2 linked regions of the Xenopus tropicalis genome follow. The protein of the gene in region 1 purifies or fractionates together with the protein of each later gene. This does not show direct contact. Links are inferred from orthologs where the notes say so. Each region holds a gene or a part of one and is shown in the gene's direction. Other genes may lie near its edges.

What was found.
Region 2: the proteins of nsf (region 1) and scfd1 purify together in Homo sapiens (affinity purification with mass spectrometry; 3 studies listed by BioGRID and IntAct, with this or other methods). This does not show direct contact. The link is inferred for Xenopus tropicalis from reciprocal best matches to the Homo sapiens genes NSF and SCFD1.

The regions. Positions count from the first base shown.
Region 1 is NC_030686.2:15,508,452-15,523,162, reverse strand, and holds the end of nsf (vesicle-fusing ATPase), read left to right. Parts: intron 1-1,219; coding exon 1,220-1,386; intron 1,387-1,973; coding exon 1,974-2,081; intron 2,082-2,522; coding exon 2,523-2,598; intron 2,599-3,296; coding exon 3,297-3,452; intron 3,453-4,423; coding exon 4,424-4,623; intron 4,624-4,835; coding exon 4,836-5,001; intron 5,002-5,095; coding exon 5,096-5,170; intron 5,171-5,694; coding exon 5,695-5,882; intron 5,883-6,503; coding exon 6,504-6,599; intron 6,600-6,850; coding exon 6,851-7,007; intron 7,008-7,788; coding exon 7,789-7,922; intron 7,923-8,092; coding exon 8,093-8,159; intron 8,160-8,236; coding exon 8,237-8,316; intron 8,317-8,406; coding exon 8,407-8,541; intron 8,542-9,295; coding exon 9,296-9,409; intron 9,410-9,534; coding exon 9,535-9,590; intron 9,591-9,915; coding exon of another isoform or gene 9,916-9,943; exon of another isoform or gene 9,944-9,960; coding exon 9,961-9,970; 3' UTR 9,971-10,327; downstream 10,328-14,711.
Region 2 is NC_030684.2:113,039,355-113,055,418, forward strand, and holds the start of scfd1 (sec1 family domain-containing protein 1), read left to right. Parts: upstream 1-8,585; 5' UTR 8,586-8,624; coding exon 8,625-8,655; intron 8,656-12,751; coding exon 12,752-12,822; intron 12,823-13,483; coding exon 13,484-13,572; intron 13,573-14,355; coding exon 14,356-14,446; intron 14,447-14,624; coding exon 14,625-14,747; intron 14,748-14,989; coding exon 14,990-15,077; intron 15,078-15,901; coding exon 15,902-15,991; intron 15,992-16,064. Other genes in the region: g2e3 (G2/M phase-specific E3 ubiquitin-protein ligase), read left to right, coding at 195-376, 1,307-1,479, 1,816-2,021, 2,972-3,198. UniProt on the Homo sapiens protein: Plays a role in SNARE-pin assembly and Golgi-to-ER retrograde transport via its interaction with COG4. Involved in vesicular transport between the endoplasmic reticulum and the Golgi.

The DNA.
Region 1 (14,711 bases):
TTTTTGTCCTTATCTCCCAGCACTTCTCATTAACACCTTTCTTCCTTTGAACTTCCCAACTAATATTAACCATGTGTACTTTAAAGAATATGGTCAGGTAGTGTTTCCTGATGCATCAGGACGCATGCAGGGCTGTTTTAATAAATGGGCAAAGGGGGCATTTGCCCAGGGCCCACCAGGAGAGGGGGCCCACTAGCACACCTTTTGTCCGAGATAACTTTTGCCGCCTTTTAATCAACTGAAGGAGCTCTATGGTATGGTTATTTTAATATCTTTGTATTTTTTTCCTGCGGCATTGCCATTTTGTATCTTCCTGCTCCCAGGGCTGTTGGTCCAGGGCGGCACACCTGGTCATCATATCTACTTTCGTAAGCACAGACCATTTCACCGTCTGCTTTACAATATTTAGAACTTCGTGTGCTTTAGAATTATTCGATCACAAATTTCTTTGCCCAAGGCCATTGGTACCTTAAAGTGGCCCTGGGAACATGGCTATCAGACCCAGTTTGGTCAGGTCCACTTTTACAAGGAATACAAATGTAGCTGTCCCGCTTGACATATATACTTGCCACTTTGTTTTTAGGGGGCGACTGTAAAAATAAGGTGCAATACTGTTGTTGGTCTGGTTGCTCAAGATTAGCACAACTGTTCCAACAACTGCAAGAGAACTGCCTGACCAAACCCTACAACGTTTATGAAACCCTGGCCTAAGACCTTTCTATTTTTTTTTATATAAAATACCAATATGTTTTCCTAACATTTCAGTGTGTATTTAAGTTATGTTGGAATAGAATTATCTGAATTGATGTACATGTCTGATGAAGTTGTCTTTAACGGAAGATATTGCTTCTTTTTAGAGGTTCTTAGAGATGTGGTATTTCTTGTAGAAGTTTCTGCATTGACCTATTGTGGTAAAAAGGCCATAATAAAAACATTACTTTCTCTCATACAAGCTTTTCTATGGGAATCTCTTTTATAGGTTGCATTAGAACAGCATTGTAATCTGTGAACTGTGTAATTCCAATATGAAGCTGAAGAACATTGTGTCTCACAGAAGCCACAAGCCCTCGTTGTTATCAGCTTTTATAGCAAAGAGATCATGTAGAGCTATTTTGTCTCCATAAAGAATTTGATTGTGCATGAAAGTACATTGTCCCCATGCAGGCCTTTGCTGAATAGCTCCAAAGGCTCCTAATTATATATTATCTCTCTGTTTCAGTCGGGGTATATACTTTCGACAAGACCAAGCAGTGCATTGGCACCATGACCATAGAGATCGACTTCCTGCAGAAGAAGAGCATTGATTCCAACCCTTATGACACGGACAGAATGGCAGCAGAATTCATTCAGCAGTTCAACAACCAGGCCTTCTCCGTTGGCCAGCAGGTGGGTTATATCCCTGCCATGTTCCGCTCTCCCACCCACCCCTGAGTCTATATCTACATGAATAGTGCTGCTTGGCTCAATCTGTATGCTCCAGCTCTGGATTTTCTTAACATTTCTATACTTGTTGCCTTGTATTGTTCCTGAGGTTGTAAGTTATCCTTGATGCCAATGTTTTTTATAGGGAAGTATAAAGTAGTATGAAGGCCATATTTAATGGAAACCCGAGCCATTCCCTACTTTCTTAATGTTTGCACCAGACATGCTTTCTCTGTGTTTTCTCTTTTTATTATCCCTCTTGTTTCTCTTGTCCATTCTCACTTTTCTCTCCCACAGTTTGTCCTCACCTATTTTAGAAAATAAGTCTGTGTTCCAGTAATCAGTAAATTAGATTTACATTGTAATGATTTATAATAATTTTTTTTTACAAAAGCTCTGGCTTTTTTACAATATTAGAAGCAAAATGATGACTTCAAAATGATGTCAATAAACATCTGAACTCACTGTTTATAGGACATTTTTGCACACTGTATGCATCTCTACTCTCACAAAGTACGCATGTATAATTGTTACCTCCTCCCTTTTTACAGCTGGTGTTTAGTTTCAATGACAAGCTTTTTGGGTTAGTGGTGAAAGACATAGAGGCCATGGATCCAAGCATTTTAAAGGGAGAACAGTCAACAGGAAAGAGGCAGAAGGTAAGGCCATTACATCATATCCACAGACCAAATACAAATGCGATATTTGCACATATTGTAAAGATAAGTGGGTGGAAATGTGAGATTGTAACATTTCAAATTCTCAGCGTTCTCTTCCTCTTATTGCCTTAATATGTGCACACTCATAACTGTACATATATCATTAAAGACTAGGATGGTCAGCTGTCTCTCACACGCATGTGCATGCCTTTGGCTAGCTGTACTGTAAATATGTTAAGCTGAAGTACCCCTTTCAGGTGGCGAATGTAGGGACACTCTAAGCCTGAGTGCCTCGTGCTGTAGGCATTGTTCCTGGGGATTGGTGCCATAGTGCATATTAGGTAGAAAATGATACTGTAGCCAAAAATCTTGATTTATACCTTTGTGCTGTGTTTACAGATTTTTAATTTGTTACTGTTCATGCATTTCTATTTCCTACAGATAGAAGTTGGACTGGTGGTTGGGAACAGCCAGGTGGTGTTTGAGAAGGCTGACAGCTCTTCTCTGAATCTCACAGGTAAGTTCTTTTAGACTGCCGTAGGGAACAGGACACTGCTCACAACTCAAGCAAACCATAGGGTGGTCTTCCATGATGAGTAAATAATTATTGTATTTTTCTGTATGCACTAAATTTGCGGGTCCTGCATCCCACCTTGCTGCAGGCAATCACCCATTGTTTGGGTTGTGCAGGTGTGCAAATCCATTGGTTGCAGGGGGGTTCATTTTTATTCCAGGAGGCTCAGTCATCCACATTGAATCCTACCAGCACAGGTTATCCCCAACCCCCTGCTTTTTATATTACTGTGCTGGGCTCTGGAGAGTCAGAGCTCGGGGTAGGACATTATGATTATTTACTGTAGTTGCTCTATTCCCCTAATATGTTGCTTAGTTTGAAAACCCCCCGAGGTTCCAAATGCTCATATGTAATGTTTCATTGTATCGAATGCAGTTCCTTATTTCATATTTAGCCACAGATCCTTTCTAATATTGTTGGTTCTTCCTTTTCACAGTGATAATGCTACACTTCTGAGTGGGTAATGTCTGTAGCATTTAGTCCCTCCCATTAAACGGGATTTTAAGGGGCAGAGATTAGGACATTAGGAAGGCAATGAAAGTTGCTTCCCCAATGAACATGTAGTTTTAAAATATTTATTTATTTAAACAGGTAGAGCTGCTAGCGTTTTTACAAAAACATCTTTCTGTCCATCTATTTAGGCAAATCAAAGACAAGGCAGGACCGTCAATCTATAATCAACCCAGACTGGAATTTTGAGAAGATGGGCATTGGAGGGCTGGACAAGGAGTTCTCAGATATCTTCAGAAGAGCCTTTGCCTCCCGAGTCTTCCCACCAGAGATTGTGGAGCAAATGGGTATGATGTCCTATATCACTGTGCCAACAGCATTTGGAAGACAGTGGGCACAAACCAACAATAGTAGCAGTGAATCTCATTGTGAAGGGGCATAGTGACCTTACCAGAAAGCTATTCAGCACATGCAGAAGCACTGGATTTCATTTCTCCGTGGGAGACACGGTTCTAGTTGTGCAGCCATTAAAGCCTCCAACTGAATGTCTGAATGCAGACATCCATAGATAAACTTGAAATCACATTCATGTCAAGATGCTTCCTATAGTGCTTTTGTTTCTTTGAGACTAGTGCTTTGCCTGTGTGTCTCTTGGTATGTGCCACCTGTGAGGCAGGTAAAGGTCACCCTCTAACTGTATTAGGCCAGGATGACAGACCTCTTCATATCTTGACACACACAGCTGTCACCAGTGGCAAGTAATCCCCTGTGCGCCAAAAAAAAGCAAATGGAAAAGGCCAAATCCCCATTTCTCCCACCTCTAATCTTCCCAGAGCTTTACAAAGATAGGCAGTAACTGTAAAGGTTGTGTACAAGGCAGGAACAAGTTTAGCTGCCAGCAGAGACACATATAAGGGCTGAGCTGTGCCAAGGTCTGCATCTTTACCATTGTTCTTTCAGACAGTTAATTTACTATGTTCCTATCAGTATCTTGTTTGCGCATGATATGTTTGCGCATGATGCCTAGTAATTTTCCTGAATGCTGGCTGATAGGCCAGTATTGTAGATAAGAGTGTCCTATAATCATATTTTGAAGACTAGTATTAACCCATGAGTCGAAATTAGGCTGCCCTTTGCCTGCAGTGTAGATCAAAGGCTCCCTAAGATACAGAAATATGCAGTGCATTTCATGCTGTCAGTGTATCTCAGAGCATCTTTGGGGGGCTGTGGGTCTTACATCACTATTTCTACTTTGGTAATACCCACCTGAATGTTCCCCATTAAAACGGAAGTCTGAGGCAGCTATTCCTTCCTACAGGCTGCAAGCATGTAAAAGGCATTCTTCTGTTTGGCCCACCTGGTTGTGGCAAGACCCTGATGGCTCGACAGATCGGTAAAATGTTGAATGCCCGGGAACCCAAAGTGGTGAATGGCCCTGAAATTCTGAACAAGTATGTGGGAGAGTCAGAGGCAAACATCCGCAAACTCTTTGCAGACGCAGAGGAGGAACAGAGAAGGGTAAGGTTCCCTATAGGGAATAAGCAGTGAATAGTGTTTTTCTTGCTCCTTTTTATTATTTAGTTCTGTTGCCCTTAGAAATGGAGCATACATGTTGGTAATGTGGGGGAAGGGCTCGCTAGGTGACACCTTCTGAATTGTGTTATTTGTATGTTTTATGGAACCAGTTGTACATTTTTGCCATGATATTATTTTTTTTTCTTGTGCCTCAGCTGGGTGCCAATAGTGGGCTGCACATAATCATCTTTGATGAAATAGATGCCATCTGCAAGCAAAGAGGTAGCATGGCTGGCAGCACTGGGGTGCATGATACTGTGGTCAACCAGCTGCTGTCCAAGATAGATGGTGTGGAGCAGCTCAACAACATTCTAGTGATTGGTAAGATGCTGGGGAAGAGCTTCTATGTACAGGGGAGGCACAGTGCTGCCTTATTGTGTCTGACTTACCTTCTTTCCCTGTTTCTCCTACCCAGGTATGACTAACAGGCCTGATCTGATAGATGAAGCTCTTCTGAGACCTGGAAGATTGGAAGTGAAGATGGAGATTGGTAAGTTAGTCAACCATTAGCCCATGTTTTGCATTAAAAGTATACTTAGTCAGATCTGTGCCTTCCATGTAACAGGCTAACAGACAAATTATAGGCCTATTTAGAAACATGGGGTAGGTCGCATGTTTCAGTACAGGCCCAAATTAGTTTGTGGCAGCTACTCCTCTAAAATTACCTGTGATTTGGGATTTGCTACAGATTGCTGTGCTTGTTCTGGTGGAGTGCTTATATTCTAGATATCCGATAGATGTTCATTTTACATCTGCAGTGCCCAGCAATGATTGCTGTTGCTGAAAGTATTTCCGTTGGTTATTGTGTCTAGAACTTTCATTTTGCCTGACCCTGACAGCTGTTTCAGTGCATTTAGATTCACACACTATTATCTTACTGAGTGAGTCAGCATTCATTGATTTACAGTAATTGTATCTGTTTGGATACATGTAATACTCTGCTATGAAAGCTTGTAATAAGTGTTTTGCAGATATTTATTTAGACATTTTTATGAATTCTGCTCATGTTTCCAGGGCTTCCTGACGAGAAGGGTCGCCTGCAGATATTGCACATCCATACAGCTCGGATGAGGGAGCACAGTCTTCTCTCATCAGATGTGGATGTTGGTGAACTGGCACAAGAAACCAAAAATTTCTCTGGAGCAGAACTGGAGGGGCTGGTGAGGGCAGCCCAGTCAACAGCTATGAATCGGCACATCAAGGTGAGACGCAAGTGCCGCTGGCACCCATACAGCACAACATTGAGCCTTTGAGCCAGCACAGACTAGGTTATGTTATAACCAGCTATGCAATATACAACATTGTATTACGGTGTAAGAAATGCTCAAAAGGTTCCTGCACATGAGATTGTTCATCGCTACACAGCAGAATAATCATCACTTGTTACTTTCCCTAGTAATTAAAACAGTGACAGTTTCTGTCTAACTGTGGCTATTATTAAGAAGATATTAGACCATCACAACAGCCTTACTTTTCCATGCCCATGTTGCATTGTTCTGTATTACCTCTATGAGAATCCAGCATTGGGCATGCTATGTTGTGAGTGTGAGCAACCAAACATGGCCACTATAGACATAACTACAGCATAACTAAAACAGGAATAAACCCCTGTATTTACTTATAGGCACTACAGAATATCCTGTATAACTATTCTAAGCATAAGACTTCCCTTGTACTACAATTCACTAGAAACACTTATCTACCGTGTTGTAGATCATTAAACCCCTTGTTTATGATCTCTGTGCAACAATATCCTATCTGTATTCAAGATGTGACATTTCTTACATCTCCTTGGTACTAATTGCAACCTCTCTTCCTCTCAGGCAACCAACAAAGTGGAGGTTGATATGGAAAAGGCAGAACGCCTGCAAGTGACAAAAGGCGATTTCTTCACTTCTTTAGGGAATGACATAAAACCTGTAAGTGGTCTATAGATTTACTAAGCTACTCCCATATGAGTTTATTGCCTGAAAAGCCAACACTGAATGAAACCCTGCACCGAGCAACTCAACAACAATCTTTAACTCCAGTTATAGTTCCTGAATTTTAAGAATGAACGAACTGAGTACAAACCAAGCTACACTTCTTTCCAATTTTATATGCATTAAATTGAACCTCAACGTATTTTGACTGTCCGTTCATTTGATTTTTTTTTTTAAACTCCTTTTAGGCTTTTGGAACAAACCAAGAGGACTATGCCAGCTACATTATGAATGGCATTATTAAATGGGGCGACCCTGTTACTCGGGTTCTTGATGATGGAGAGCTGTTAGTCCAGCAAACGAAAAACAGTGATCGTACTCCACTTGTTAGCGTTTTACTTGAAGGTGAGAGCTTAGTGGAGCAGAGATGGTTATGACGGCCTATGACAGAAATTAAGGAACTTTTTGGTTCAATTTACTCTTTCAGGACCTACATTTGTTGAGGCTCCTCTTTTAGTGATTCAACCACAGTTTCAGGAATACCTCAGACAGCAAATAAGTGCCAAATCTCAACTTGATTGAAATTCAAGCTAGAATACATTAAGTTAACTTTTAGTATGTTATAGAATGGCCAGTTCTTAGCAGCTTTTCAGTTGGTCATCTTCTTATTTTTTTATTGTTTTTGAATTATTTGTCTTGCTCTTATGACTCTTTCCAGCTTTCAAAAGGGGTTACTGACCCCGGTAGCCAAATTTGATTGCTAATTGAGGCTACAATCTCATTGTTTTTGTTCCTTTTTATTATTTATCTTTCTATTTAGACCCACTCCTATTCATATTCCAGTTTCTCATTCAAACCACTGCCTGGTTGCTAGGGTAATTTGAAGAGCTGCTGAAAATAAACAAAATAATTCAAAACCCACAAATAATGAAAAATGAAGATTAAAGGCAAATTGTACCAGAATAGCACTAGTTAATTTAAAGCTGAATAACCTCTTTAAGAGTACCTAGGAGATCAAAGTGCTATTTCCAAATCTTACCCTCATTCTTACCATAACCTTCTCACAGTTTTCGGTACCAAGGGCCAAAAGAAGATCTTTTGTAAATGCCATGAAATTAAACAGAGTGTGCTGATATGTAAAAAAAACTGCCATTAAATACTGCAATATTTGCATTTATCTATACAGGACCTCCACATAGTGGCAAAACAGCCCTGGCTGCCAAGATCTCAGAGGAATCTAACTTTCCTTTTATTAAGATTTGCTCACCGGAGAAGATGATTGGGTTCTCTGAGACAGCCAAGTGCCAGGCCATAAAGAAGGTGAGAAATAAAAATGTTTTTTTGCTTCACTATTAAAGCTTTTTTTTTTTTTGCCCCATGATTTACATATCAGCTTCTATCTGTCACATTTTAAAACCCCCCCCCCTTTTATTTTGCCTTTTCCCTTTCTATTCTGCTTTTGTAAAGAAGTGCTTTCCTTCCATTGCCAGATCTTTGAAGATGCGTACAAATCACAGCTGAGCTGTGTCGTGGTCGATGACATTGAGAGGCTCCTAGGTAAGGGTGTTCACCTTACCAATTGTTGATTGTTTATTATGTATCATAGGTAGTTAATTTACCTCTTTTCCTGCCAGATTATGTCCCTATTGGTCCTCGCTTCTCCAACCTAGTGCTGCAGGCTCTACTTGTCCTTTTGAAGAAGGCCCCTCCTCAGGTAAAAGAGCTAAAGTTTGGTAACTAATACAAACGCTAATATAATATACTTTTCACCATTGATATCCTTCTTTCTACCACTTTTCTAAAGGGTCGCAAGCTGCTAATTATTGGCACCACCAGCCGGAAGGATGTGCTTCAGGAAATGGAAATGCTTGATGCATTTAGCACAACCATTCGTGTCCCAAATATCGTCACAGGTGAACAACTCATGGAAGCCTTAGAGGTGAGGTCATGACTTGTGTTCTTTCAAGTGGGGAGGTGTGTGCTTAGCTAAATTGCCTTGTTTTTGGCAGACCTGGCCATTTTGAGTACACAGAGGCCCAAATAGCCCCCCTGACATCCCACTCCATAATTACTGTCTATGGCATCTTACTTAAGCCTGTCTGGCATTTCCCGAATCCGCATATTGCCAGTCCAGGCCTGGCTGTTAGACAAAACTAGAGTCAAAATATTAGAAAGGAGACTCAACAGTAGATCCTAAATCTAGAAGTAAAAGTATTATTGCCAGTATAGGGCACTTCAGATTCGAATATTTTTTAACATTATTGCATTTCTATGTATGCAGTGGAATTATTATGAGAGGAATGTGCAATAACACTTCCGATACATTGGTCTGACATCTCCTATAATTCTCCTTAAATATTCACAGAGCCCTGTTAGTGTGGGGTTCTATTTCTAAAACTATAGGATGGCACAGGAGTGGTTTAATCACTGGAGTATGGCATGGAGCAATGATATGGCATAAGGCATAACGGGGTGGGGGGGATTTATTTTTTTGTGTTATGTACAAAACCAAAAGAAAACAGTAATTGGAAAGACGGGCTGTGGAAACAACCTCCATAATGTTGGCTTATAGCCTTGTTCCCTCTACAAAGCACATCCTAGTAACTAATATGCTTGAACCTGAGTATCTTTAACCAGCCACATTGGCACCATCATAACAAACTTTGTTGACTCTTTGTTTCCTGTTTCAACAGCTCCTGGGAGGTTTCAAGGACAACGAAAGATCAGTAATCGCTCAACAAGTTAAAGGCAAAAAAGTGTATATTGGAATCAAAAAACTGCTGATGCTTATTGAGATGTCCATGCAGGTAAGTGGTGAGCCGATGGTTTAGATTTCTGTATAATGCTGATGCGGGTATACTTGCCTCCCTCATTGATGCTTGCAATGACTAAAGATTATTTTTAGCATGCTTAATTTTACCTGCTTTTGCAGATGGATCCAGAATACCGGGTTAGCAAGTTCCTTGCTCTTCTCAAAGAAGAGGCAGCGTAAGTATTTTCACTCACAACTTACAACCAACTTCCAAACCTCTCAACTTATTTTCGCAAGTTCCATTCCCCCAGAATCTTCTTTTATGTATAAAATGATTAGATAATGGTATTTGGGGGTTACATGATACTGCTGAATGACGATGTACATAATGTATCCAGCATTCTTTAACTGTCTGCCTGTTTCTAGCCGTGGAGCCCTGTAATTATTAGTTGTGCTAAGCAGAAACTCTCTTCTGCCTTATCTAGTATAAATAAATCTAAAGCAACTGGACTTGTTAAGTAATCATTGAAGACTTCTCTCTTCTGCCTTCTTTCTTTTAAGAGAGCCCGTCCATCGTGGCTATGACTAACATACTGTCTCTCCCAGATGGAAGTGAACATTGAAGCCGTTACCACATTAAGACGTTAAACATTCCCCAAAGTGCAGCTCTACCAGGGAAGGCTGGATTCTCGAATTGTGCTGCTGGCTCTGTGATTTCTCCGTCACGTGGTGCATGTTCTTAATAAATACCTTCTTGTCCGTCGTCCGAAGCTGTCGCAATACTTCCCTCTCTATCAGCTTCCTGAACTACAAATGCCCAAAGCAGGCTGTGATCCACTGCTGTCTTTCAATAGGTATTCTGTAACTCTGAGATGGTAATTGGTAAGCTTCTCAGATAACCTTTAAAGGGCCGCGATAACTTTATTTTTACCCTATGTATTTTTCTAATAGAAATATTAAAAATGAAACAATTTCCCTTTTTGTTTTGTTTCCCCCTGGCTTCTACGAAGGTGCAGTTTCAGCCTTGTCTAAACTGCCATTGTCACAGGAAATCTTTGTTTGCTGCAAGTGTATTGCTACACTGGAAGCAAATAAAGACGATTGCCTGTACAATGGATTGTACTATTGCCAGAAGTTAGCTGGCGGAGGGAAAAGTTGACCAGCAGGGTGGTAGGATTTTATTGTGGGCTGCAGCAAAAATATAAAAAGATTACTTCTCTGCCCTAGTATATGTATGCCTCCATACTAGGCACAATTCTCCATGGAGATATAAGGGGGTCAGAAATAGACAGCTATATTACCATGCAGTAGTGCATTAGGTTAATGGACGAAAGTTGTTAAATTCAAGGCCCAGACACTATATAAGACACTGTATTATATACTATTGTTGAAAGAGTTACAGATCGCTATGCCCTAGTGCAGGGATCACTAATGATTTGATCACAGGCTTAGGCTTTGCATGCCCTGCTGAAATCTGCCTGGCCACAGTGGGGGGGTATGGACACCGCAATGGTTTGCTCATCAGTATCTTAGATAAGAGCCAATGGGATTTGTGGGGCCCAGCCTTCCCCCAGTATGTGCATAATGTTCGTCGGATCCTTGGCCCTATGACGTTCTCTTGAGGTAATAAGTGCTGTGATTATGTTGCTGCTTTTCTTTGCCTCCCTTACCTTTCATAGCCCATGGCTGCCCACATCCCCCACACCTTTCCACTCCACTGTACATGTATATTTTTATTGTGAATTTTGAGTATTTTGTGGGATATCGCAACTGAAACCAGTTGCAGTAAAGTTATTATTTATCCGACACGCCTCGTCTGAATTTATCTTCATGGATATGATAAATGGGGGGTGCTTGGGGATTTATAGCCCTATGCAAAATATTATAATATTTGCCACTTTTTGGGGTGCAAGCAAAAAGCTAATATTCAGTAGAATTGGGTGTGAGATCTAAAGAGTCCCCTGAATGTGTTGCCCAGGTGGAAATGCCATGCTTAAAAAGCATTTTCTGAATGAATAAGTTAGAAATGCTCCTAAATAACAGGTACAGTAAGGTTGAAGAGAGCTACGGAAGAGTTTTATAGAAGGTTCATGTCCCCTCAAAATATTAGAAGGGTCATTTACACTGGCATCCGACTGTGCAAAGTGCCATATTTTTCACCCACAATGCAAAGTTCCACCCTCCCCCCCCTAAAATTCCAGCGTAAATGTGGCTGTGCATGGAGTTGCACCGTCCCCAGTTGTGCCTGATACATAAAGATGGGCGCAATGGCATGGGCTTGTGCGATTCTTCAAGCTTACAGGGTTAAAACAGCATTAGTGTGTGATTCTTTTGCCACAAGACTACTACTGTGCCTATTAAAGTGGTAGCCATGGAATTCCTGTCACCTACTGGGTGGCAGTTGCTCCAGGGTACCTCCAAGTACCTTTAAAAACAGGCAGCATATGAGTCCATTTGAGTGCTGGAGTGTTCATAAATGGCCCTGAGCAGCGGTATGAGAGTCAGAGATAATAATTCATTCAGCTGTGAATAGTCAGCCTTGTCTGCAAAGGTTAAATATTGCAAAAATTGCACCTGTTAGCCCAGAATATAACAAAACAGCAGTGTTCTCGAAGGCTGTTGTAACTAGACTATCCAGGAGGTGGCAGCAAATTCTAATATATCTTCCTGCAAAACTGATAGATTAGAGACACAGACACTCTATGTGTCATTTTCTATAGCAATAGAGGCATATTGATATCACTGGCCTAAAATTATATGAAAACATATATTAAAAAGGAAATGGCCCTCATTAAAAGTAAACTCTTACCTTTCCTGGAAATGTTTAGTAAACCCATGCACACAGGCTGGAGAATTCCTGTATTACAACAGTTTCACAGCAAGGTGGCATCTGTGAGTCTTTCTACCCGTAAGGTCCTCTGAGGCAATTCATTGAACCCAGCCGTTCATAGAAAGTGCACCTCCCCTAACAAGACATTATGTGTATTCCCTTGCAGTCCCCCCACCTGTGTGGCAGGTAAAGGTCACCCTGTATCTGTATTAGGCCGGGATGACAGACCCCTTCATTCCTCCATACTCAGCTGTCAGTAGCAAGTAATCCGCTGCCTGCCAGCAAATGTAAAAAGGCCAAATCCCCGCATCTCCCTCCTTTCCAAAGCTTTACTGGGAAAGGTACAAAATGCAAAAGATATGTACAAAGCCACTACCAGCACTGACCCATGGAAGCAACAACATGTCAGACAGGAGGACAGCAGAGAGAAAGATAAGGCCAAGGGTTCTTACATTTAGGCTTCATTGACTTATCAACATCCCAAACATTGCCATATTTTATTGCAATAAATACTCTGTGGATCCATAAGTTCTGTGTAACAAGTGCCATATGCATCATGGGAGCTTTGTGACCTTAGTCACAACTTAGGTGATAGGGGCACCAAAACCACTGAAATAGACCCTTTCTATAGATTACCCTGAAGTACAACTTGCTGAAATAGTGCTTGGTCACAAAGCCAGGGCAGGAAGTGCAGTGGGACATAGTTAGGGCAACCACCTTAGGGAATTAGTGCACTGGGAGAGAGTTGTCCCTAGGTGTCTGTGGCCAAAAGCCAGGAAGGGCCACATTGCCATTATGTATAGGGCACACATGCCAAGTGTACACTGGATCGGAAGGAAACGGACAATAGAACATCTGTGAATCTCTTCCTGGGCCCTAAATAGTGCAGTAAAGAAGGCTTAGCACTTAAGGTTTTAAGGTTTTCCTTTGTGCTGCAAGAAGTAGGACCCCATGGGATGATGGGTAAAACATGGTGGCTTTAGGTCAGGTTTCATTAGTTTTATTGACTCACCAGAAGACTTTCCATAACAGTTTTGCTGTTGTTGCTTGTTTACTAAGACTGGAGATAAATATCACCGGTGGTGTTGCCCATAGCAACCAATCTGATCTTTGCTTTTGTTTTCTAACTTGTAGCTGTTAAATCTAATTGCTGATTGGTTGCTGTCTCCAATCTTAATAAATACGCTCAAGGATTAAAGGCATGCTGGGAGCTGTAGCTCTAGCAGTGCCTAAATTCTAAAAGCAACATGACGCCAGGGCCAATGCAAGATGATTCTTCAGCAGGAAATCCTTCCTGCTCCATGTGCTCCTACCAGCTCCCTGTTTTGCTACCATAGAAAGCAGCCCTGGGACCATTATAGTACTTTTTTTAAGTTCAGAAATCTTAACATCATCATATCTGCCTTCCCAGTGTTTTATTATAGTGTAATCTTGTTGGGAAAACTGTACAGTAATAGCTCTGTGTTAAGGCAAGACGCCTAGTAGGGTTCTCATCCTCTTGTATCTGGGGGTTGTAGTGGGAGCGCTTTATAGAAGGTTTACTTTACCTTTAATATTCAGTCCATAGACAACCAAGTAATGTCTATATGAAGTTTCATTGAAAATGGTTCACGATTCCCACCGATGTTGCAAGACTATGAAAATCAGGAAAGAGGCATCCTAATGAGGAATTGGGGACGTAGCTAACAATATGTATGGCTTTTACTAGTTGTGTTAAATACTGCAACTTCCACATCTGATAAATGGTCACGCAAGTTTTCCATCATTTTTATGATAATCTGGCCACACAAAGGGACTTTTCCATGATTATTGTCTTTAAAATACAGTTTCCTCATCTGCGCAATCATGGCTGCACCCAATGATAAATACAAGGAGAATCAGGAAGGTAATTATAGGGGTTGGTCACCTTAAAATGAACTTTTAGAATGATCTAGAGCAGTTGTCCCCAACCAGTGGCTCTCAAGCAACATGTTGCTCCCAGTGGCCTCTTTAAATTCTGTTATTCTGTTATTGTTATTCAATATTCAATTGTCTGTTCTTGAATTACTGAGGCCTGTTTTGAATTGCAATGTTGATCTGAATGTTGCTATAATATACCATAGCACAGCTGATTAGGTAGCACACCCTCTACGTTGCCATTATGCACAGCACCCATGGGCCAAGTGCACCCTGAAACACCTGTGAATCTCTTATGGGCCCTAAATACTGCAGCATAGAAAGTTTAGCAAGAATTGGCACGCCTTGGGATGATGGGTAAATCATAGTGGCTTAGGGTCAGTTTAGTTGGTTTTATTGATTCACTTCAATCCTAGTGTCCTGAAACGAGTTGATCAACAAACCCTGAACCACAGGTGGACATCTCCTAATATAATGTATGGAATCACACACAGAACAAGGCTGTGTTCTATAGGCACATATAAATACTAAAGCACATATAAATATATCTATGGTGTGTGTGCCATGGGCCTTACAGCATCAGCTTGTGTGCTGTTTAGTATACAGGTATGGGATCCGTTATCCAGAATGC
Region 2 (16,064 bases), on another chromosome or scaffold:
ATTGATTGTTTATTTGAGAAGGCATTCCTTTAGATTCTTGCTTTTTGTTATTCAGCAATAATTTAGGTTTAGTTCTCCTAATTCGACTATTTCTACATGTGATAGGCCTTAGTCATTCGTCCAAACATTAAGCCTCCTGCTTTCAGTATTCTGTTACCAGGCTGATATTAGAACCTTTGCTCTCTCCCTGACAGCACTGGAGGACAACCTATATTTTGAAGCTGGAAGAATGGTGGCATTGGCTTTGGTCCACGGAGGGCCTGCTCCTGGTTTCTTCTCTCAGACTCTCTTTCGTTGCCTCATCTATGACCCTCAGCATGTACTGCCTGCTGTAGAAGATGTGGCAGATCCCAATGTTGCTCAAGCAATTCTTACGGTAAAGAAACTGAAATCCAGTCACAGCTTGTTTAATAATCTTTGCCCATCAGTTCTGCATTTCTCACTGGTATAGGGTTATATCAAAAATGTAAGTCTAACAGTTTAGAATATTACGTTTCCAACTGTTCCCTGTACTAAAGCGTCCAGTCACTGGGGAAAGAGTTGGCTACTGTGGTGCACCTTGTTCTCTTACTTTAGCTTGCAGTTTTAAATTAATGCTATTTAAGCAGTGTCAAACTATTTTCAGATGATTAATTACAGCTTAATACAAATGACAAAAGACCAACTGTTTACAAGTAATTTAGTGAAAGGGAATTTTATATTTCATTCTCGTTAAAGGGCAAATAAGCCATTTATTTTAAAAGCCTCTAAAGACTATAAACGCCCCCCAAAACAACATCTCTTCTTACATTTAGTCTGATGTCTTTACTAACACAGAAGCTGAAAACAGTAGGTCAGATGAGTAACTTCTTTATCTAGCAAGAACGCCCACCCCCTTTACTGTGCTTCCCTTCTTGTTTGAATAGGCAGCATGTCAGAGTCATCTGCTGTGTATTCTTCCGCCATGGTATATTAAAGAGGGTGAAGCTTTACATTAGACACTAGAAGTTACTAAACTGCTACAGTTTTCAGCTAACTGTTAGAAAATATATCAGACTAAATGTAGGGAGAGAGGTATGTCAATTTGGGGGGCTGTTTAGAGTCTTTTAAGGTTCAGGTTGACAAAGGTCTTGGTTCTGAAACAGGGTTTTCTAAATCCACACATGTCTGATTTTTCTCTATATGCTTAGTGGTGTAATGTTAATTGATAGTATGTATATTATGCATTGAACTTTGAAACTCTTGTTTGTTAATATTTACTTTTTGCTTCATGATCAAGATAGCAATGTATATATTGCATTTTTTAATTTTTTTCTCCATACTACAGATCCAGTCTTGCCAGAGAATTGGAACACTGAAATCTGCAATTATCCATTACTTTGACTACTTGCAGAAGACTGGTAGCCTGCGCCTGGTGCAAACAGTCAGCGATAAGGTTCTGATAATCAAGGAATTATTGGCCCATCATGTCATCCGTAGGGTACAACAGCCCCTAGAAAGGTAAAGCTATAGAGCAAAATGGCAAGCCAGTCTTCACAGTCCTGCTCCTCAAATAATCTGTGTATTTAATAGATAAGGGATGTCCAAGTTAACCTTTCCAACTGTTCTCAGATTGGAGAGCAATAGATTTTGTAGCCGTCAAATGTCCCGTACTAAATGTGTGTATTTCTGATGATGTAGAAGTGCTCTATTGTAAGTTACTTGCTTGCTACACAGTAAAATATTTAATATTTCATAAGGTTATATGTCAGTATAAAATTCAAAGTGTATATATTATATAATAATAATATATATATATTTACATTTGCTCAGCTGTCCATTTCATTTTTCTTTCAGCTTTAAACAAGGTTTAATGACTCTGGGGGTACTAGAAAAGATCCAGGCTCACCCGGCCATATTTTGGAGTGTCCTGGTCTTGGGACCAGAGAAACTAACTGCTAAATCCATGACCGACCTGTTCACTGTGACACATACAGACCTCGGTGTAAAGCAGCAGAGTGATGCTCTCGGCTTCTGGGTAGATTATCTGGAAGACACAGAAGGTTAGAGTTTTTTTTTTTTGTTTGTTTTTATTTTGGAGAGCTGGTTATCCCAAATAATTAATTAATTTATGTACCAGATATTTAAATATACTTATCAGATTTTCTTTGTGTTAATTTCATTCAGATGGATAAAGATTTACTCTTTTAAAGATCAACTTTTTTTTGGATAGATGTCTTAACAGAATTTAAAATATCCCCTCCAAGGGAATCCAGCTGTGATGTATCCCATGTAATAATTTGTGGCAGCCAGTGTTCTTTCTATATAACTACAAGGCTTTTCTCCATTAGTGTTTTAGCTGTGAAATATTTTTAAATAATCCAAATTGATCTCTAATCATTTTGAAAGAACTGTGGACCCTATATGAAAAGGGTTTCTTTGCTTAGTTAACACATTTAAAGGAACAGTAACACCAAAAAATGAAAGAGCTTTAAAGTAATAAAAATATAATATACTGTTGCCCTGCACTGGTAAAACTGTTGTGTTTGCTACAGTAACACTACTATAATTTATATAATAAGCTGCTGTGTAGCCACAGGGGCAGCCATTCAAGCTGGGAAAAAAGGAGAAAAGGCACAGGTTACATAGCAGATAACAGATAAGTTCTGTAGAATACAATAGTGTTTTATCTGTTATCTGCTATGTGCCTGTGCCTTTTCCCCTTTGAATGGCTGCCTCCATGGCTACATAGCAGCTTATTTATATAAATTATAGTAGACTTTTTGAAGTAAACACACAACTTTTACCAGTGCAGGGCAACAGCACATTATATTTTAGTTACTTTTACACACTTTCATTTTTTGGTGTTACTGTTTATTTAAGCTATAATTCCTGCCTATAAGCCACTGTTTTATATCATGTGATGGTTGTTAGTTCTTTGAAGGACCACTCAGTATTTGAGTGTCATTTTCTATGTTGATAGTATCTTAACATAAACTTCATTTTTTTGCAGAAGGGACAACTGTATGCTCCTTGGAGGATATTCTGAACTTTGCAACAGGTTTGCCCTCTGTTCCGCCTGCAGGCTTCGATCCACGACCGTCCATCCGGTTTAAGCAAATGGCACAGCCTAAAGCACGCAAATACATTAACTGCCTGGAATTACCTTCCTTCTCCAGCTATTTGGATTTCACCAGAAGCATGAACAAAGCATTATGTACCTTTCTGTGCAAAGCATAGTTGCAGACTTTTGCCTTGGGCTTCTTCATTTGATTGTTTCTTTCGTAACATTGCTTGGAGAATAAATGCTGCTGTGACTTGCTCTGTGGCCTCTTACTGAACTACAAAGGCCAACTGACCTTCCGGAGCCTTTGAAATGGCACCAGCAGTATTCTTTGCCAGACAAGACGTGGAACTGTGCAATTTTACAAATCTTTGCCTGCAATACTGAGATGAAAAAGCTGAGCTAAGCACTTCCTCAGGAGATTTTTTTTTTTTTTTAAATCATTGCTGCCTTTTCTGGAAGGCATTCTGCTTTCATCCCTATTGAGCATCATCAAACTAAAAAGGATTTTGTAGTATAGTTCTCTATAAATTGTGACTTCCAGAAGAAGTTGGTTGAAACCATAGTTCATACAGGTTTAAGCTCTTATTTTCAGCAGAACAATAATGAAGTGTTTATCTCTTACAATTAAAAATGAATAATGCAATGATTTGTTTTAATGCCTTTTAACATTTTATACATTGTAGAAATCTGTTCTGCTGTGCATTGCAGATCTTCCTACTTAAGAGGTTAAACAAAAAAATCTCTCTTGGAAGGCTTGTAACAATGCCATTTAGTAAACTCCCTTATCCCTGTATTGGGCCAGGCCATTGGAAACTGTGAGAGGAAGCAGGCTGATTTAAGCTACCGATCTGAATGGACAGATTGGCTTTGTAAAATATTTATATGTTCTGTGTTTCTTATTTTTGCCAAATTAATGTTTGTTGGGTCTAGGACGCCATACAGTTGCCTTAGAAATATTTGAATGTGTCGCTAGTTGCATGCTACAGTACACTGATACTGTACAAACTGCCTCTGTTTTCTGTTTCAGGCGGGTATTCCGTTTATTAAGGACACAGAGTATTGGGATATTGTGTCATTCTTCCTTTGTGTTTATGACTTACAGTTAAATACGTTGTGTCTGTTGGGGTTGTCTCGCTAATTTATTTATTTTAATGCTAGCTGTTAGTGCTATTTCATCAATTTAACTGTTTTTAACACACCTCTAAATCCGTTTTTTAGCACCCTTTTGACTGTCATTTTTTACTTTCATTGAGTAATCCTTCAACTGGGCAAGACACCTTTCCCTAAGCCTCTTTGTTTATTCCAGTTTTCTCTTACCTGCTGAATAGTGGTGGTATTTTTAATGTCAATGTTAGTGGCTGGTTAAATCAGACATCACAAGTATATACAAGCAAGTGTCAAAGGGTCTGTTTGTGCTATGAGCTGCTTTGGTGTCAGTATTCTACTTCAGTGCTGGTACATATGTTAAATGCATACAAGTGATGCACATTAAACAGGCAGTTGACTGTGCTCACAGTTTAACATACAGCCGTGCAATGTATGTGCACTGAACTCATGTACAAATGAATCACAGTAAAGACCCATGTGCTAAATTGTTGTGTTTTTGCATCTCTCCATGGCTCAGTGTTTTATATTGTACTAGCCTCCCACAAACTTCTGAATTGTGGTGTTTATATAGGAACCTCCAGTCAAGGCTGCCTAATGCTATGTCAGTGTTTTCTTTGTTAACACTGATATTGATTAAAGAATCCATTGATTTGTCCTCATCCTAGAAAAACCGTTTCTCATCACTATGACCTATTACATTTGTGTCATTCTGCACTGCTGAAAGTAAGGAAAGCTTATAGGGTATAATTAAATGCATTATAACCATATGAGACAGAGGGGAAAGGCCTTGGTGTGCATTTGAAGGCAACACTTGCTATTTATAATAGAGAGGTCTGCAACTGTCCTGGACAAAGCATACTGATTGGAGAGGACTTTGTATACATAGTTTTTAGCAGGCAGCCATAAGGCTTAAGACAGAGTTAAGACATCCACAAATCAAAATTTGTAGAAATCTGTATGCCCCCCCCCCCCATATTCCTTTTGCATTATACACACTTTATGGAAGTAGACATAGGATCTTATTTATCTGAGTAACTGTAGCTGTCTGTGCAGCTATATGGCTGAGCCATTGTGATTTTTACTATGAAGAAATGCCCAGAACATTGTCACCACTCATAGTTATGTATACATCCCTCATACTTTTTTTTGTTTTGTTTGTTCTTGTTCAAAATCTGTGCAACTTAAGAATTTTTAAATTCCAATTGTCTGTAGTATTTCCGATATGCAGAGGGTATACTGTTATACCATCTACTGAGAGGCTTTGTAAGGGTGTCTCTTGAGATTCTATAAAATAAACTTTTGTGGAATGATGACTGTAATACCAGAAGATGCCTATTCCTGTATTTTTGTAAAAGCTATTCATTCACTGCATTTTCTACAACATAATTTATAGTTATGAGCTGTAGCTTGTATTTGATATACTGCGGTATTAATACTGGGACATGAATAGCAGCAATCCAGTTACAATGTTAGGCACAACTGTAGTTATTTCTGAGAATTCTATTTAGACTGAAGTGTCTAACAACTATGAACAACCTACAGCCAAGGGTCATAAAATGCTCAAAAACTTTTCATACTAATCTATTTTTTTTTTCTTCTTGTTTTGATAACCAATGTACATAGGTTGTTTCCTGTAATTAAATGTTAATGCAATTAAATCGATTTATATCAAACTATGGTAAAGCCTGAACTTGCCTAACTTGTTTTTTTTACAGAATTAATTCAAAGGGTTTTAATTTTTTCCAATAAATGTGTCCCACTTTATGCTGCTTTTAGCATTTTATGTCTGTGTATGCTGCAGTCCTATGATAGCAAGTTGTTTGGAACCCACTTAATATAAGGCTACAGCCACAAGCGGCTGATTCTCGGCCAGCCCCTACACTCCGAACAGCCTATTCATGTGTAGACACATGAAGCAGGTTTTGGCGGCAAAATGCAACTAAATCTCAGTATTTCTGCACCTGGGCAACCACAACGCCTCTGGGTTAAGGCACAGGGAAAGGCTGAAACCGATGTAGGGACTTGGTTACTGACCTGCGTTTATCTGCAGGCCAAGAATCGTCCTGTGTGGCTTAGGCCTTAGGGTCCCCAGTGCAAGCCACACACATTGAAACAATGTTCTACACTGATTCTGATTCATTTTACCTTGTAAAATTAAAGTCACTGATCTAGAAGTAAACGTTCAAAGAATTAATGAAGGGAATTTTCTAGGTGAAGCAGCTATAGTTGTGACCTCTATGTTGGCTCTCTGGTGTTGATCTCTGGCTAAAGCCCCCTGGAGGTAGACTCTTCCAAAGAGTCTTTGAATGGGTGTTTCAAAGACAAATTAAAAGATATTAAACAAAAGCACAGGGCTTCCCTCTGTCTTCTGAGAAGGTTGCTGCACCTTTCAGACCAGCTCTGCATCAGTGTTGTGGTTCAATGGGCAATATCATTTACCCAGTGCTATTTTCTCTCCCTCATAACAGTAACTTTCAGGAAGTTATGCCACAAGATAACCCTTTTGTACCAAACAAAATGGTCCACAACAGTCCTGGGGTGGTCAGCATCTTTCTAGTGGTGAATAGGTATTCTGGAAAGTCAAGGGGATTGATGTGCTTGTTATACAGCAAATGTATTTTTCAAAATTATGCATTATACTTAGTGGTCAGTAGAGGGGAGGGATATTATACTTAGTGGCCGGTAGAAGGCAGGAATATTTTATTTACTGGTCAGTAAAAGGCATGGATATATTTATCTGAGCTGTACAAAATGGGTGAACAAGTATTACTACAGACATATATAGTGGGTAGTGTACTTCTAAATTAAGATTTAGTAGGATGTAGACAATGATAATCTGATACAATTTTTGTATTTGATATTCATTTTTTTTATCTGGTTGCTAAGATCTAATTTATCATAGCAACCAGGCAACGGTTTGAATGAAAGACTGGAATGATGCAATAGAAAACAACAATAAATTTGTAGCCTTGCAGAACAATTTTTTTTTCTGCTGAGATCAGTGATGTTTCCTTCTCCTTTAAAGAGGTAATGTGACTTTTAATTCATCAGTCTCAGCTTGCATTCAAACAAATACCCCAAGCTGTGCATATGTGAGAAAGCTCAAACCAGCCAAAATATGTAGATCAATGTTTTCTGCAACAAACCCTATTGTTATTCCCTGTGCTCGTCTGGTCAATCTATTTGTATTTACGTAAACCCTAATCTATCCTGAGCCAGGTAAAGGTGGCCATACACGAGCAGATCCGCTCGCTTGGCGATGTCACCAAGCGAGCGGATCTTCCCCCGATATCCCCACCTACGGGTGGGCGATATCGGGGAGCATTTAGGTAAAAAAAATAAAATAATCCGATCGTTTGGACCTGGGGCCAAACGATCGGATTATGTGGTCGGCAATGGGGCAGTCGGATCGGGGACCGCATCAACGAGCCGATGCGGTCCCCGATCCGACCTGATTTTCTAACCTGGCCGATCGAGATCTCAGGCCAGATATCGGTCGGCCAGGCCGCTCTGCTCTCCCCATACACGGGCCGATTAGCTGCCGAATCAGTCCAAGGGACCGATATCGGCAGCTATAGTCGGCCAGTGCATGGGGACCTTTACTGTCTATCTGCACACTGGGACCTATTTATTAACAATGGAGACAAACATCACTGGAGATGTTGCTCATAGCAACAATCAGACCTTTGCTTTTGTTTTCTAACTTGTAACTTGCTGATTAGTTGCTATGAACAACATCACCAGCGATGTTTGTCCTCCAGTGTTTAATAAATACTCCCCAAACTAGGACTCGTATTGTAGGCCAAAAGTGGCCATAAACTTGCCTAACTGCCATCATGGTACATTTTAAAGGAGAAGGAAAGTTAAAATCACAGAGAGCTTGCAAAATTTTAGGTGCCCACTAGTGATTATAATCACTTACCATTTAATGCTTTTCAGTTCTTCTGTTGCCCTGGACCAGCAAATGTGCAACAGAGTAAAAAGGCCCAAATAGCCTCCATGGGCCAGGCCTGGGATGCAAACTACACAGAGGTCCAAACAGCCCAATAAATAGTGAGTGTGTATGGCACCTTACCATGGGAAGCTTGGGTACATAACTGGTTGCCTGTGCAAAAGCTTTAACAGATTAGTCCGAGTCTAGGTTGTTTTCCCAAGCTGCAAAGCTGTCTGAGGGTATTTTAACCTGCTGCCCTGAGTACTTCTGGTACCATTCTCTCTCGCCTTGTTCTAAACTGAATATATTTTGTACTGCACAATGCGGCTTGGGTAAATCACAGATGCCATTGCCCTGTACCAGCTTGGAACGCAGGCACACACTTCCTATTAGACCGTGACTTCCGTGTTAGTCAACAGCAGCTTCCAGTATAAGCGGTAGGCTTGCAGACTCCGCCCCCGTTGCTCTGGAGACAGCTGTCAGCCAGCAGGGCATTCGCTCCTTTGCCACGTCACCTCTATTGATGTCAGGGCGAGAGGCGGAGCTTGAGAGACCAAGATGGCTGCTTCTATCCGGGAGAAGCAGACGGGTGAGAATTGGGAGATGCTGGGGTAAAACTGGGAATCTCGCAAACAGAGCTAGTGGTGATGGAGGGGCATTTAGTAATGGGAGAGAGAGCGAACTATTTGAGAGAACGGAATTTGGCAACGGAGAAAGGAAATCAGGCACCGGCCAGAAACCGAAAGTTGTGATTGTACGAATGGGATTAGACTTCCCTATACGAGTTGCATGACACTAACATGTCGTTCCTAATGGCTGACACACAGTAAGACCTGGGACTGTCCAGCTGTTGCTGAACTGAAACTTACACCACCCACGTCATTTTGATGAAAGCTGATTAGCAGGGCACCTTTCAGTGTTTATAAGTGTGTGTGTGTGTGTGTGTGTGTGTGTGTGTGTGGGAGGGGGCACTAATACCTAAGACAAAAAATTAGGGGCAAAAGGATTAACAGGCAGCATATAAATCACATGAAATAGCCCTGACACAGCTCAGCACCAAGAGATCTTCATCCAGACACTCCCTTGCTTGGCCACCATTTAATCAGTGCCCCTTGCTCATTACAATAAAATATGAGAATTGCTGAGCAGAGGCTAGCATTGCTGCCCTGTAGTGCTAGGGACTTTCTCCCACACTCCAAAACATACAGGCGGGTTCATTGTTTATAACACACAATCCATAAATATCCTGTAAATTATATTCTTATAAACTGTGCTTATTGGTGTCATCAGCTATAATTGGTGCTTATTGAACTGTAAGTGTGAAGACACACAGAGCTACTAGTAGCAGCTACTTGTTGTGGCTACAGAAATAGACAATGCTGATCATTTACTGATAATTGTCTCTACATGTGTTTTAGCAGATGCAAGTCTCAGTACCGTCTATGGCAGGGTATTTTCTGGAGTTTAGTTGCCATGAAAAAGTAGCTGCTATTAGTAGCTCAGTGTGTCTTCACCCTAAGAAAATAGGCATCTGATTTCTCCTTATTTATTTAGTAATTTATTTTCTGCTATTTATATAGTACTTACACATTTCTGCACTGTTTAACAAAAATTATACATGGTTCATTGCTCCAGTGGAACTTACTTCTTCTGCCTACCCCTAGTCTGGGCTTTCTTGCCCAAGCTGCGGCGCTCCCCCCATGAATACACCCCACATGGGTGCACTCTTTAGCATGCATGTGATGGGGAGGAGACCGGCCGTATTGCCCGACTCCTTGCAGATTGTGCCTAAAATTAAACTTAGGACACCAGTTCTGTAAGGCAGCAGTGCTACCCTACCTTGTTAACTTGTATGTTATAAAATTTCTTATTTTTAAAAAAATGTTGTCTTTTTTTTTTTTATTTGTTATAGTTTTGAATTATTTGCCTTTCTGTTCTGCCTCTTTTCAATAATTCTTAAACAACAAAAAAATGTATAAATTAAGACCAATTATCAATTGTATCAGAATAACTGTCTATATCATACTAAAGTTTCATTTAAAGATGACTAGTTGGCTGCATAAAGCATATTGGGAAGGTGTTCAAATAAGCTCCACAGATGGATGGCAGAAGAATCGTTAAGATACAGGAAGCTGTTGCATAAAGTCAGTCCCAGCCAATAGAGACTTTAAAAGGAAAAAATATCCCCTTTAACACGGGCTGATTTGTTGGGCTTGTGTAAATCATGTATAAACACTATGTGAGCTGCTACAAATAGATACACAGTACAGGTATGGGACCTTTTATCCAGAATGCTAGGGAAGTGGGGTTTTCTTTCTGTCATTTGGATCTCTATAAATTAAGTCTACAAAAAAAATAATTGACACATTATTAAACCCAGTAGGATTGTTTTGCCTCCAATATATTATATTTTATATTTTAGCTGTATTTAAATTTTATCTGGAAACAAGTACAAGATAATGTTTTATTATTATAGAGAAAAAGAAACTTATTTTTAAAGATCTGAATTATTTTATTAAAGTGGAGTCTATGGCAAACAGCCTTCCCATAATTTGGACGTTTCAGGTTTTTGGATATCGGATTCCATACCTGTACTAAAAAGTGCAGTAGTAAAGAATATGTGAAATGAATATTTGGTCCATTTTCGTGCAGTTTATGTAGGTACTCACAGGATATTTTGGCTTCTGCCAGACTAGCTCGAAGGTGCTGAGGTCAGGGCTCTGTGGGGGCCATATTATCTGTGGCACGATTCCCTGTTCTCTGTTTCCAATAGTTTTATGATTTTGGCTGTGTGTTCAGGGGCATTGTGATGCAGCAGAATGAATTTGGGACAGATCAGATGCCTTCCCGATGGTACTGCGTGATGGATAAGAATATGCCTGTACTTCCCAGCAGTAATTGTGCCGTTTTTGACCAAACTCCATTTGAAGAAAATGCATCCCCAAACCACAGGGAAACTCCTCAGTACTTCACTGCGTGGCATTTATTGGTGTCTCCAGCAGACACCATCAGTTTGAAGAGAAATGGCACTCACTCCTTGGTCCACTAAAACTTGTCTGTCTTCCAGCAGACACCATGCCTTCTACTAGATCCAAATGTTGCATGTTTTTGCATGTAGCTGAGCTGTTTGGTTTTGTTTCCACCTTGGAGACATTGCTTTATTGGTGGCATCTTATTGGCCAACAAATATCTGGCTGAAAAACAACCAGATGACGATCGGGCATGTTTAAAAATCACTTCGGTCGAGGAGTGCATTGGTGCATTGATGCAGTTTTTGTCCCAATGCCCTGCATCCCGTCAATGTTATTTGATTATATCAATCCAATATAGCCCATCTCATGGTGGGCATATCGGGGAAAGATCCGCTGGTGTATGAACAGCTTTAGTGTCAACTCTTGCATGAAGACCTCTTTCGATAACAGTCATACGTAGATGGGTGTAGCAGGGTCCCGGTGGTTTCAACCCTGCCAGTTTGTGCAGCTGCAGAAGAGTTTGGACAGCAGAACTGGAAACACCTGTTTGCTATGTCATTTCTGTGTCTCAGGCAACCCCTGCCTACCCTGAGGAGTGAAAAACCTACACACACAGTGGCATATTTATTAATAATGGAGGCAAACATACCGATGATGTTGCCCATAGTAACTAATCAGGAATGATATTGGAATGGTCATCTACAAGTTAGAAAACAAAAGCAAAGATCTGATTTGTTATTTTGGGCAACATTACCAGGGATGTTTGTCTTCTACTGTATGTTAATAAATACACCCCACAGTGTTAAACTTAAAGGAGAAGGAAAGGTAAAAACTAAGTAAGCTTTATCAGAAAGGTCTATGTAAATACAACCATAAGCACTCACAGAAACGCTGCACTGAGTCCTCTATCAAAAGAACACGTGATTTTGTGTCTCCTTTTTTAGGAACATGTTCTTTGGTATCAGACTTCCTCTCTTTTAGGGCTCTGTCAGGTTTGGGGCTTGAGTCTACTCAGTTCTCCCTCTCTCCCTCTCACACTCCCTTCTCCTGCACCCTCTTCCATAAGAATGCATAAGAACTCATTCCCCCCTCCCTTAGGAATGTGTGATCTTAGCTTCCAACGGCTATAACTACAGCAGGAAGCTACCAAGACCAAGCTAAAATGGCAGCTGCTATCAGAGGGAGCTTCTAGGCCTGTTTACTCAGGTATAGTAAAGCTTTCTGCAGAATAAATATGGCGTTGTAGGTGGCATTAATGTGGCGAATCTATTGGCAGTAAAATGCCAAAATGACTTTCCTTCTCCTTAAAGTGCAAAATGTCAGTGCATGCAGGAAAAGTATCCTGGGCTGAGGCATTTTTGAAGAGGAGCACTTGTGAAGGAAGGAATTAGAATGACTATGGGTGCCTAACAACTTTGTGTGCCCCAGTAATTGTGCCTTTTTGTTCTTCTTTAAAGAATGCATACATGACCCATACCTTGTGTCTCAACCCCTTTCCCTTATAGATTGCAAGCAGTTACTGGTTGCTTTGTGTGTAATTTTGTATGTCCAATGTCAAGTTGAACCAATAATGTGAGAAATGCTAATGTAAGCACAATTTATGTTATTTAGCTTATGAACTGATCTTTTACCCACTGAAGAGTTTTTTTTGTTTTCCTAAAATATTTACACTGGTAAGTGTAGGTTTATTAATTACTGTTGTTGTTTTTCTAGTTGCTTTAAAGCGTATGCTGAATTTCAATGTTCCCCTTGTAAAGAGCAGCACAGGAGAGCCAGTATGGAAGGTGAGAGCTCCTAGCTACTGCTTGCAGAAAATACCTATTGTTTTAATTAAGAAATATTTATAACTTATGATATTTCTGGCACTAAAGAAGAGAATCAAAACCAGTATCACTTTAGCACTTTCTGTTACTTCCTGGTTCTGACGAGCAGCTGCTCAAAGGTTGTAGCTTAGGGAGGAGAGGGTTTTGTTTGTTCTAAGACAGATTCTCTGAACAAATTGCCCCTTTTATAATGGGAAAAGGGGGGAGCTATTCAGTTAAAAAAAATGCAGTTATTGCTCTGTAATGGTAAAAAACAGGGAGACGTGGATTTTATTAATTAAATGAACAGTGCTATTGATTGTTCTCATTTAGCAAAGGTATTTTTAGGTGTGTACTGTCCCTTTTAAATCATTTTACAGGGTAAGGGCAACAGCACAGTTTTCTAGTGATAATCACCAGACCTGTGTGTGGACTGGCAGCCAAGTCAGTGCATTAAAGTCACTTGACAATTAAGGATTGGGACATTGCTTTGGATAAATACTGAAATTTTGCTCAAGCCGAAACCTAATTCCCTACGACTGAACCATGCCTTTCCTCAAAATGTATTTGTTACTGAAGGTACATTTTTGCCTGTAGCTAATTCTTTAATTAAATCTAATATTATTTTTTGCTTTCACTTCAGGTTCTTATTTACGATCGATTTGGCCAGGACATTATCTCTCCTCTTCTGTCGGTGAAGGAATTAAGAGACATGGGAGTCACTTTACATTTGTAAGATAATCTGTTTCAGGCTGGGCTTCGCCTTATCACTGAATTTTAGAATTGGCATTTAAGGTCCCCATACACGGGCCGATTGTAGCTGCCGATAACGGTCCCTTGGACCGATTCGGCAGCTTATTGGCCCGTGTAGGGGCAGAAACGAGGGGCCTGGCCGACCGATATCTGGCCTGAAATTGGCTAGATATCGATCGGCCAGGTTAGAAAATTCAGTCAGATCGGGGACCGCATCGGCTCGTTGATGCGGTCCCCGAACCGACTGCCCCATTGCTGCCGTTAGAATTATATCGTTTGGCCCCAGGGCCAAACGATCGAATTCGCCTACAGGTTCCCTGATATAGCCCACCCATAGGTGGGGATATCGGGTGAAGATCTGCTCGCTTGGCGACATCACCAGGCGAGCGGATCTGCCCGTGTATGGGCAGCTTAATCACTTTGCTTCAACATTTTCTCTACTTTAAGCCAGATATCAGTCAAATAGGCCCATTGGAGGGCCCCATACATGGGCCAATAAGCTGCCAACACTCCATCAGTAGCTTTTATTGGCCCACATATGGTACCTTAAGGCATTTTAAAGCACTGAGGGCAAAATTCCCCAAATCACATTATTCCATTACCTACAGTGTCTCTATTATGTGTCTTATCCATTGCAAAATGGTTTCAATGATTTTGTTTGGGTTTTGTATAAACATGTTAAGGCTTTATCCAACCTTCTGCTGTTTACCAACCAACATGTGTAAAGTATTGCGATAACCTCCATGGCTTCCCTCCCATTAGGCTTTTACATTCAGATCGTGATGCTATTCCAGATGTCCCCGCTGTATATTTTGTAATGCCCACAGAGGAAAATGTGGACAGGATATGCCAGGTAATTAGTACTGAATGCCTGATATTTCCTAAGATATATGTAAAGCATCGCCAATCAGAAACAAGATTTCTCAATAAGAGAGAATGCTTTGATTATATGTAATTTGTGAATAACTTGTAATGGTGTATAGTTATACTTATGGTACCAAACATACTTTATTCTTTCATCCTTATTGCAGGACCTAAGGACACAGTTGTATGAGTCCTATTATTTAAACTTCATCTCCGCCATTTCTCGCAGCAAACTAGAGGATATCGCAAGTGCAGCATTAACAGCCAACACTGTGTCTCATGTCTCAAAGGTAACATAAGCGCCACATTTCTTAGGGTGGTTTGGAGTCCTCTCTAGGTTATGGTATGGTTGCTAAACGTGCGTATTACCTAGACCAGCTCAGACTGATAGATGGTTTGGCCCCTAAGCCAATGAGTGGGTAGTAATGGAGGCCCAATCAGAGCTTCCCAATAGATAACTGACTGATTTTCACAAATTTTAGTGGCCGTTACACTATCATGGGTTTCATTTCTATGTTTTGTTTCCCACCAGGTTTTTGACCAATACCTGAATTTTATTACTTTAGAGGATGACATGTTTCTGCTGTGTAACCAAAACAAGGACCTGGTGTCTTACCGGGGTAAGTGAAAGGGATTTTATTTAGGGCTAAGGGATGCAATTAGCCCATTTACATGTGCAGAGTTTTTGGTTATGTTTCTGCACTATAATGTATAAAGTGTAAAAGGCTGCTAAAACTGAATGAAAGTATTTCTCAAAAACATTAAGTAATATGGTAAATAAACTCCACTTCTGTGAGCTGCCCCTGAAATTAGCAGTTACCTATGTGAGTTACAAGTTACTCTTAAATATAGAGAGAAGGCAGGCACTCCGGTGTTGTCAGTGAAGAAAAGCGATTGTTCATGAGAAGTAGAAGTAAAATCACAAAACTTTTATTAAGCTAACACATGATACAGAGAGCCTAACGCGTTTCGTACCTCACGGTACTTAATCATTGGCTGAATGAGAATTGACATACACAAAGTATTTAAGACAAAGGGAGCCAATGGTTTTTCAAAAGTAATTAGCTGATGTAAACGTAATTAACCAATTAGAAACTTGGATGGCTAATTAGGAGTCAGGAACATATAAACAGGCCAGAATAGAAAAAAAAAATCCATGTGTTCAAGCAGTATATTAGTAGTGTATATATATACATAAAAGTTTTACAAAGATGACTCATTATAGTGTATTGATATCTAGGAGAAAAGGGCAGTCTAGTAAATAATAGACATATAAAGTTCACAAAATTACAAGTTACTCTTGCCTTAATCTAGACCCTCTGCTCAGCATGATGTGTAGCTCACTTAGCTGACTGACTGCAGACTGAGGTTCAGTTGAAAGCCCCTCAGTTCAAGCACTGGGCCATTTTTCTCTTTTACTTATCTGAATGTGTTGTTTCTCCAGCTTTAAACAGATCTGATATCACGGACACAGAAATGGAAACAGTGATGGACACAATTGTTGACAGCCTTTTCTGCTTCTTCGTCACACTGGGTATGTTCTTCATTGTCTGAGCAGGAAGTTTCCAGTTTGGTATTAACAAGCGTGTGCAGAGCACATTGGTTTA